2 linked regions of the Nothobranchius furzeri genome follow. Each later gene encodes a partner of the first gene's protein in a complex. Links are inferred from orthologs where the notes say so. Each region holds a gene or a part of one and is shown on either strand. Other genes may lie near its edges.

Region 1 (4,855 bases):
TACAATATGTATTTTGTTGTTGTTGTTGTTAGCCTCAAGGGCAAAATGCCGATTATCACTTGTAAGTCGCTTTGGACAAAAGCGTCTGCTAAATACATAAACATAAACACATTTTTACTGTTGATCTCTGGAAGGGCTGATGAAGAATTTCTCTGACCCGTGGACCATCAGCATCAGTTCCCCTCAGGGCTGTGTTCTCTCCCCTCTACTCTTCTCCCTACATCAACCTTATCAAGTTTGCAGCACCGCCATTGGATGAGTCTGCCCACAGAATAGAGGTTGAACGGCTGATCTCCTGGTGGAGCCACAACAACCTGGTGCTAAATACCCAGAAGACAGCGGAGGTTGTTGTGGATTTTAGGAAGCACCAGCTCCACTCCCCCCACATCTCTGTCCGACACTCCCATCACGATGGTGAACTCATGTCGCTTCCTGGGCACCACCATCACCCAGGACCTCAAGTGGGTGCCTACCATCATTTCCATCATAAAAAAGGCCCAGCAGAGGATATACTTCCTGTGGCAGCTGAAGAAATTTATCCTGCCAGTACATTCGATGAGGCAGTTCTACACCGCAATCATCGAGTCCATCCTCACCTCTTGAATTACTGTGTGGTATGCTGAAGCCACCAACTGGGACATGAAGAGACTGCAGCGTGTTTTACGCTGTGCTGAGAAGATAATTGAATGCAAGCTCCCCTCCTTACAAGCCCTGTGCACCTCCAGGACACTGAGGCATGCAGGTTGGGTCACCGCTGACCCGTGTCACCCTGGACACAGTTTTTTGACTAGCTTCCATCGGGTAAGAGGCTCAGATCCATTCGAACCAGAGCCTCACATCACAAAAACACTTTCTTCCCCTCTGCTGTTGGACTCATGAATGACAATCCTAGGGCTGCCCAATCCAGTCACTCAGTTTCAGTCACATGACCCTATGTGGTGTTTGTACCTGAACTGATCCACTCTGATCAGTACCTACACTGTCTTGTATATAATAGTCGTTTCTCTAATTATTCCCACTTTATATTATTATTTCATCATTATTATATTCTTACTTCCTGCATTTACTTATCTCTTATTTTTATCTTTCTTTTTGCACCAAGTATCACAGCAATTTCCTAATGTTGAGATGTCTTGCACACGTGGCAATAAAACCCTTCTGATTCTGGAAATAGCCATCAAAATGTTCAAAATGAATTATGTTATGTCCAGTCACTGAAAAATATTGGTGGATTTGTAACATATAACCATAAAAATCGGGTCTAAAGCACATAAGCAGCAAGTCTAGTGTCTTTGCAGGACGCCATAATATTACACGCCGTTTCCTTCTCGGCTTGGGGCCCTGCACCTGTCGATGACGTCACACTAGATGATTGGCTGGATGTACGACCTACGGAAGTTATGTTACCATGTTACAGTAAAAGAACATAATTGAAAAAGAGATGCAATATATTTTGGCGAGCGGTATTGCCATAATATGATGATGTCATCAGCAGGTGCAGGACCCAGAGGAGATCCAGAAACAACAGCGCCAGAAAACTAGCATCAGCATTGCATTCTCTTGATGGAATTAACTGAAGCACCATCAAAGTCTGAGGAGTCACGTTGGGGTTGCATGCTTTCTGCTACACGCATAACAACATTTATCGTAATGTTTTTTTAATCAGGGCGATATGGTGTAAAACTACCCTGAAATGTATGTACTGCCCCCTAGTGCCAGGAAAATACACACTTCCACTTTAACATTATTCATAAAGAGAAGTTTTTTTTTAATTTTTTTGGTGCATGTATTTTTGTTCTAATTTAATTGTGATAAATGATTTACCAGAATAACGTTTTCTTGAGTAGATTATTTTAATTCTTAAGCTTTAGGTTAGTAAAATCCAGCCAGCGATATTTAAACAATTGCAAGCGTGTTACAGCTTCAATTATTGAAAAAGAAAGAAAAAACACAACCCTGAGTCTCCGTCTCACTGTGAGATCATACATATAAATTGTGTAAAGCGCCATGTTGTTTATGATGGAAAAATGTCTAATAAAGTATCAGGAATATAAGGAGAAATCCCAAGTGAGATAAACAACCAAAAACAAGCTCTTTGGAGTCTAGCTCAAAGGATCAAACTGCAGAGTGACGAAAGGGGATTTCCATGCAGATTTGAAAGAAACGTCTAAGAAAACAAATTATATTAAACATGATGTTTTGACAAACATGGCTTCTTTCACAGGAAAATAGAACATGATTCAGAGGCTTTCCCAGATTCTCAGAAGTACAAAGAGCAGGGAATGACGTGGGAGCTGAAATTAATTTAAAAAGATTTTTTTATTATTACTATTACTGATGCATGAATCTTATTAATATTACGCATGTGTATAATGATAAGGAAAACAAATCTGCATTTGGACTGAGTTATCTTTCAACACACCTGTTCTCTTCTTTTTGCCGCACTGACTCATGCGCCTTGCAGGCTCGCAGGTGCAGCGCTGAGTCCCACATCAAAGAAAACCCGAACCGCATTAAACATTGTTTCCACATCAGTGAGGACTTTGCAGCTGATTTTCTGAGCAGTCAAATTCAAATTTGAAAAGGAAAGTTGAGCGAATTTTGCGCTTTTACGCATGAATGGAGACAGTGGGAGAATGGAATGATTCCACTTACCGAGCGAGTTCCCGATGAGTGAGACGAAGAACACGACGATGTAAGCCACGATTAGGACCCATTCATACTCTTTGGGGTGTAAGTACTCAGACCAGATGTATCTCAGAAGTTCGTCGTCCGTCTCCATGTTGGAGTGCAGCTCCGTGCAGTTGGCCACATGAACAGGATGTTTACATTCATCGTAATCCAAATTCCCGGTGATCCCGGACATCCTTAAAATGCGCTTCTCTGTTGCTGCGGAGAGCCGCGCGTGTGCTGAGACCGCAGGTTGTTGAGCTGACTGGCTACGAGGACGCACAATAACCCCGTCAGAACGACGGTGAGGCTGATGTCCCCTCTGCCTCTGCGTCTTCTAACGGTCACAACAGGGTTAAACAGCAGCACGTCCGTAACGAGTCCAGCTGGAAGTAACGGGGCTCACGTGAGATCAAAGTCGGTTGAAGCTCCCGGGGGGGAAAATGCGCTGGTAACACTTTACAATAAGGGTCCATTTATTAATGTTACTAAATGTTAATAAACGAAGAATCCCTTTATTAACGTTACTGATATTGTGAATTGTTAAGTTTCCTTAAGGTTAGGACAAAATGCCTGGGGGAGGGTCTGCTTAGCAATGCACTGCTTAATAATAACATTATGTTACGGCTGCCAGCCTGGTCTGTGAGATTGAGGAGCCAGGATCACCCAACCCCGGTGATCAGCCTGACACCGCCCCTCCTTCCCCTCTCTTCCAGGCTGCTGAGGAGCACAGCTGAGCTGAATCCTACCAACACCTGGGATAAAAAGGCTGTGCCTTCAGCAGTCTGGGAGGCAGCAGTGCAGGGGTTCTGCTGTCCTCCAGGCCTCATTTTGTTTTCAACCCCTTCGAGTTCAAGAGTTTTAACTTAAATAGTTTTAACTCTGACTGATCCCAATGGGTCTTTGTTTGTTAAGGTTAACTTGGTTTGCTCCAATTTAATTGACTCCGGTTTTAAACACCTTCTGTTCGGTAAAGCCTTTAACATAAGTTTTTACCAGGTGTTTTAAGTCAGTAGATTGCTTTAGACTTTATCAACTTCTGGATTTTAAAAACACCTTCTGTTTGGTGAAACCTTTAATAAGTTTTAACCAGGTGTTTTTTTTAGTGGGTAATTGGTTTAATGTTAACCTTTTTGATGAGGCAGCAGTGCAGGGGTTCTGCTGTCCTCCAGGCCTCATTTTGGTTTTAACCCCTTCGTTTTGAGAGGAGTTAACTTTATGGTGTTAACTCTGAGTTATGAGCTTTCAAAGGGTGAAGCTCCTAGATGTTCTTCGTTTTAAAGAGACTTTATGGAGTTTTGAATTTTTATGCTTGCGATTGCCCCCTCAGGCCAAAAGCGTAACGGCAGCTTCAATAGTAGGCTCGTGCACGAGGCGCATGCTGTACATGCACACTCCTTAACGAAAATAACAGCTGAGACAGTCCCTTGTGTGTGTGTGTGTGTGTGTGTGTGTGTGTGTGTGTGTGTGTGTGTGTGTGTGTGTGTGTGTGTGTGTGTGTGTGTGTGTGTGGCCAGGAGGACAGGAGAACACGCAGTTAATTAATTAAATAATTTGGTTCTGTACCTTTCTCTTCAGCACAGCCGACAAAGGTTTAAGATGGGTCAGCCTGCATGCTCAGACCATTCCATTCCCTTGCTTGAAAAATTGTTCCAAAATGAAAGTTGAACCCACATCTTTTTTATCTGTGAATTCAACGCCATTCGGCGTGTCTCAAATAAAAATTTGGGCATCTTACTGTAAAAAAAAATATACCATTAATGTAAAAAAGAAACTCTAAATACTGTAAAGCATGTCTAATGTTTGATTCTCTCTCATAATTTTAATTGAAAGTTTTACTTTGAGAGCACATTTTCCTGAACGATTAAAATGTGATTAATTTAGATTAATTAATTACAAAGCCTGTAATTAATTAGATTAAAATTTTTAATCAAGTCCCAGCCCTAATTTATAGATAGATAGATAGATAGATAGATAGATAGATATAGATAGATAGATAGATAGATAGATAGATAGATAGATAGATAGATAGATAGATAGATAGATATATGACACACCCCAGATAGTTTTCTTTGTGCAGTATTTTGCATTTGGTGCATTATCATTATCTGGGGGCATTAAATCATTTTTTTCAAGCACAGTGGCACAGGAGTTAAGTTCTCGCCCCATAATCGGAAGGTTGCAG
Region 2 (4,082 bases), on another chromosome or scaffold:
ACGTAACCCTTCTATTTTATTTGTGAATATATCTGAAGAGGGGGATCACAAGCATCACAAGCATCGATGGGGATTCAAACTGTGCACAGCAACAGTTAATTAACAGAACACACGTCGTTGTTTGGTGGGAGGAACTGAAACATCTAATTTTGAACTGAAGAACATCTTATTGTTAGACGTCTGTGTTACATTTAGAGGAAGCTGCTGCCTTCCTTTCCTTGGACAATTCAGCATTTACATTAATACATACATGGCAGCAGTAGCTCAACAGGTTGAGCGGGTTGTCCAGCAATCGGAAGGTTGCAGGTTCAATCCCAGCTCCGGACAGAGAATTCTGTTGTTGTGTCCTTGGGCAAGACACTTAACCCACTTTGCCTGCTGGTGGTGGTCGAAGGGACTGGTGGCGCCTGTGCTCGGCTGCCTCGCCTGTCTGTGCTCCCCAGGGCAGCTGTGGCTACATCGTAGCTCATCACCATCAGTGTGTGAATGTGTGTGTGAATGATACACTGTAGTGTAAAGCGCTTTGGAGTCCTTACTCTGAGAGGCGCTATACAAGTGCGGGTCATCATATTTTCTAAATCAGTGAGATTTTTCCCATCTTTTGATTGGCCACAGATCATTTTACTAATCAGCAGAATCAGTTGAATCCGACTCTCTGATAGGAAATCGGACTGCGCCTTGGAGCAAAATTGTTTTTCTTTGATTTTCTGTTTGTAAAAATGTGTGATTATTTTTTTAAAGAATGAACAAATCTGAATAAAACACACTTACTGATCATTCATGAAACCTGGTCTTGGATTCAAATTTTTAATTACCGTAATCACAAAGTCATTCACATTTCCAAAGGTTATAGCTTCATGTGTAAAGCTTACAATCATTCATCTTTAAATATTGCAAAAAGATGCATTTTGCACAAGTACACATCACAAAACAAAATAGATTTCATACAAACACTGTCCTAAAATGGTTCATGTTAAACAGAGAGATTAGATGTTTTTGTCTTGAATAAGCCAGTTCACTGCTCCCCAGTTGGCCCAGTGGTCCTCCTCCCCATCGTCAGGATCCCTGCTGCTTGGTTCCTGGAGCTGTGAAGAAGCTGGTGGAGTCGGCTCTGCAAGCGATACTCATTCTCGTCCCGTTTACCCAGCGTGAGGATCCCAGCAGCTGCATCTTCTACAATTGTTCCCCCCATGCTATTGCTGCCAGAACGGCACAGTAAGACATAGAGGCGGCAGGAGTGAGGAGGCTGTCTGCAGCACTCAGACACAATTTGGGCGTTACAATCCAGCTGAGACAGCAGCAACATCAAAACGAACACCAGGGCTTTCTGTTCAGGAAAAGAGAATAGCTTTGAAACGTGATTTTTTTTCTAATCCCAAAACCTTGAAAAGCCACTAACCTTCACATTTGTAGAATATAAACACATTTTCTAAGCATTAGTCAATAAGAAAACATTAACAGTACTACATCCATCTGAGGGGAGTGTTGTTTCTTTGTGCAAAACAATATTATATTTAAGTTGCCTCATATTTCTTTCACCACACACTTATTCCCCGAATGCAGGCTGGTGGTTTAGTTTCTAGGCTAAACAAAAAAAAAAAACGTCCAAATTTTAAATTGTGTTGTATAAATGTGTATTAATTTTGTAGAGTATCAACACAGCCAGCATTGCTTAACTACCTTAGAGGTACTGAAAAGAAATAGTATAGTATCTTTGATAATGTAATGAAATCATATTTTTGTGAATACCTCTATTACTAACCCACTGACCAGCAGGTTAACCTCTCAGAACTCGTTTTAGTCCCTAAATCCAATTGAAGCAAGCATTGGGTTCAACTGGGAAAAATGCTAAACCAAAAATCTATAAATTTATACAATAATGTTTGCATATAAAGGAATACATCATTACATTACATAACATTATTATATATTTTATCACAATTTTGATATATTTCTCATTTTAAACATATTTTTAATTTTTGACATTTTTTTTATACTTTAATTTTTTTTTTTTTTGCTTTTGTGAAGCACCTTGTGATTTTTATCTGGAGAGGCGCTCTCTAAAAAATCGTTTTATTTCTTTCTATATGATCCCTTGCATCATATTACCTTGTGCGTTGTGTCCATCCTAGCAGCTTTCTGGATCTTGGAGGGGCTCCACGTCATCTTCAGGCTTTTATGGAGGGCAGTCATCTGATCTTATCTCCTCAGGGGAGAAAGCTCTCTTATATACGTCTGCGTTGTCCACATCGTCAGGTCTCAGCACGTCATTCAGGCCAATCACTAACCATGAGCCAAACCACAAATTCTCTTATTTCTGTTTTGTGTGTGTGTGTGTGTGTGTGTGTGTGTGTGTGTGTGTGTGTGTGTGTGTGTGTGTGTGTGTGTGTGTGTGTGTGTGTGTGTGTGTGTGTGTGTGTGTGTGTTAGAAGTTTTTTGTGCAGTAATTAGATTTGTGTTGTAGATCATCTCCGAGGAAGCTCCATGGTTTTTTTTGAATAACTACAGGTATGTTTTTGTAACTGCACAAAAAAGCTGATTAAGACATACCATTAGTGTGAGTGGTGAAAGAAGGTAATGTGTCAGAAAATATAAAAAACTATACGAATACATAAAAAAGCTGTGTGGCCTTTCTCCTTTTGGCAAGTTGTTTAAAGGCCATGCTAATGAGTCCCTATGAGCTGTTTACAACACAAAAGTCAGACTGACACGTTAACAAAGGTTCTGTTCTTTCCAGCTCCCTTGCAGAAAATGTTCTTGTGTTTTGAGCTGAAAGTTTTAGTATTGTTTATTGTTTAAAGCGAGTGCAAAAGGTTTGGAGAACGATGTGTTGCTTTTCGCAAAGTTTGCTGCAGTGTTGTTTTCAGATCTTTTTTGTCAGATACAGTCCCGATCAAACGCTTAGGACCACTTGAAAAATGGCCAAAAATCATATTTTTCATGGTTTCATTTTAACAAAACAGAAATTAAAGTTCCAAACAGGAACTCAGTAATGAGGAGCTCCAGTGATCTCATCAAAAATGTGTTGCAGCATGCTTGCTACAAGCGTTTTAATGAAGTGAGTGGGAACATTCCTCCAAGTGGTGAAGATGGCTGCACACATTTCTATTGTCTGAAACTGATGTCCATTTTTATAAACTTCTCTTGCAATCCTTCTCCAGATGATCTCAGTTGGATTTAGATCAATGAAATATGCAGGGCTTGTAGAAGTCCCTAGTCCTGCAGGATTTGTGTAGCTCTCCAGCAGGCTGGACTATTGCGTTGGACTTTTGCCTGGTCTCACTAAAGAAGTTGGGAAGCAACTGCAGCTTATTGAGAATGCTGCTGCTAGAGTCTTAACAAGAACCAAGCGTAGTACTCCTGCTCTTACATTTGTACACTCCTGCTCTTAAATCTGTGCACTGGTTACCAATAAACCTTAAAATAAATTTTAAAGTACTTCTACTAGTTTATAAATCAGTTGGACGAGCATGTCCTCCACCCCCATGTTTGAGACCCATTGTAAACAGTCAGCTGGTAGAATTCAATTCAAGTTAATTCAATTCAATTCAAAAATACTTTATTAATCCCAGAGGGAAATTGATTGCTGTAGTAGCTCATAATAATAATAATAATCAAGTCATCAAAGAGCTGTTGTATATTACAATGGCTGTTGGCAGGAAGGATCTCCAGTAGCGGTCAGTGTTGAAGTGAAACTGAAGAAGCCTCTGTTGAGGGTCTGACCTCATGAGGAAATTACTATGCAGTGATTTTCTCCAAAATGACTGTGCTTAAATTGCTCTGAAAAGCAAATAATCACATCAGCGCCAAGAAACTTCATTTCCCATGATGCTTTGCACACGGAAGCATTGTGATGACGTCACCGCCTAGTACCAGAAACACGTTCTGCGCATGTGCGGGAAGCCGTGGAGCTTTTCCCGCGAACTAAGACCATAAATCTTCAGCAGAGACAAAGAATCCTCGTTCTTTTGCCCAGGATACCTGGCGGTAAGGACACGCTTGTCAACGCTCCGACAACTTGAGCACGCGGAAGCTCTAAGTGCCAAGTTGAGCCACGCAACCGCTGGAAACTACACTCAACT

The links. Proteins that work in one complex are often made in the same cells at the same time.
Region 2: the proteins of hcrtr2 (region 1) and hcrt are in contact, whole or in part, in a cryo-EM structure (PDB 7L1U), measured with the Homo sapiens proteins. The link is inferred for Nothobranchius furzeri from reciprocal best matches to the Homo sapiens genes HCRTR2 and HCRT. Residues at the interface, in NP_001371201.1 of Homo sapiens: Thr111, Val114, Trp120, Pro131, Gln134, Thr135, Val138, Gln187, Val209, Cys210, Asp211, Phe227, Thr231, Ile320, Ser321, Asn324, Lys327, Arg328, Phe333, Ala334, Thr336, Arg339, Val342, Tyr343, Phe346, His350, Tyr354; in NP_001515.1 of Homo sapiens: Asn89, His90, Ala91, Ala92, Gly93, Ile94, Leu95, Thr96, Met97.

The regions. Positions count from the first base shown.
Region 1 is NC_091752.1:23,451,733-23,456,587, forward strand, and holds the start of hcrtr2 (orexin receptor type 2), read right to left. Parts: upstream 3,004-4,855; 5' UTR 2,867-3,003; coding exon 2,656-2,866; intron 1-2,655. UniProt on the Homo sapiens protein: Nonselective, high-affinity receptor for both orexin-A and orexin-B neuropeptides. Triggers an increase in cytoplasmic Ca(2+) levels in response to orexin-A binding.
Region 2 is NC_091745.1:6,570,935-6,575,016, forward strand, and holds hcrt (hypocretin neuropeptide precursor), read right to left. Parts: upstream 2,446-4,082; 5' UTR 2,194-2,445; coding exon 2,110-2,193; intron 1,328-2,109; coding exon 1,016-1,327; 3' UTR 598-1,015; downstream 1-597. UniProt on the Homo sapiens protein: Neuropeptides that play a significant role in the regulation of food intake and sleep-wakefulness, possibly by coordinating the complex behavioral and physiologic responses of these complementary homeostatic functions.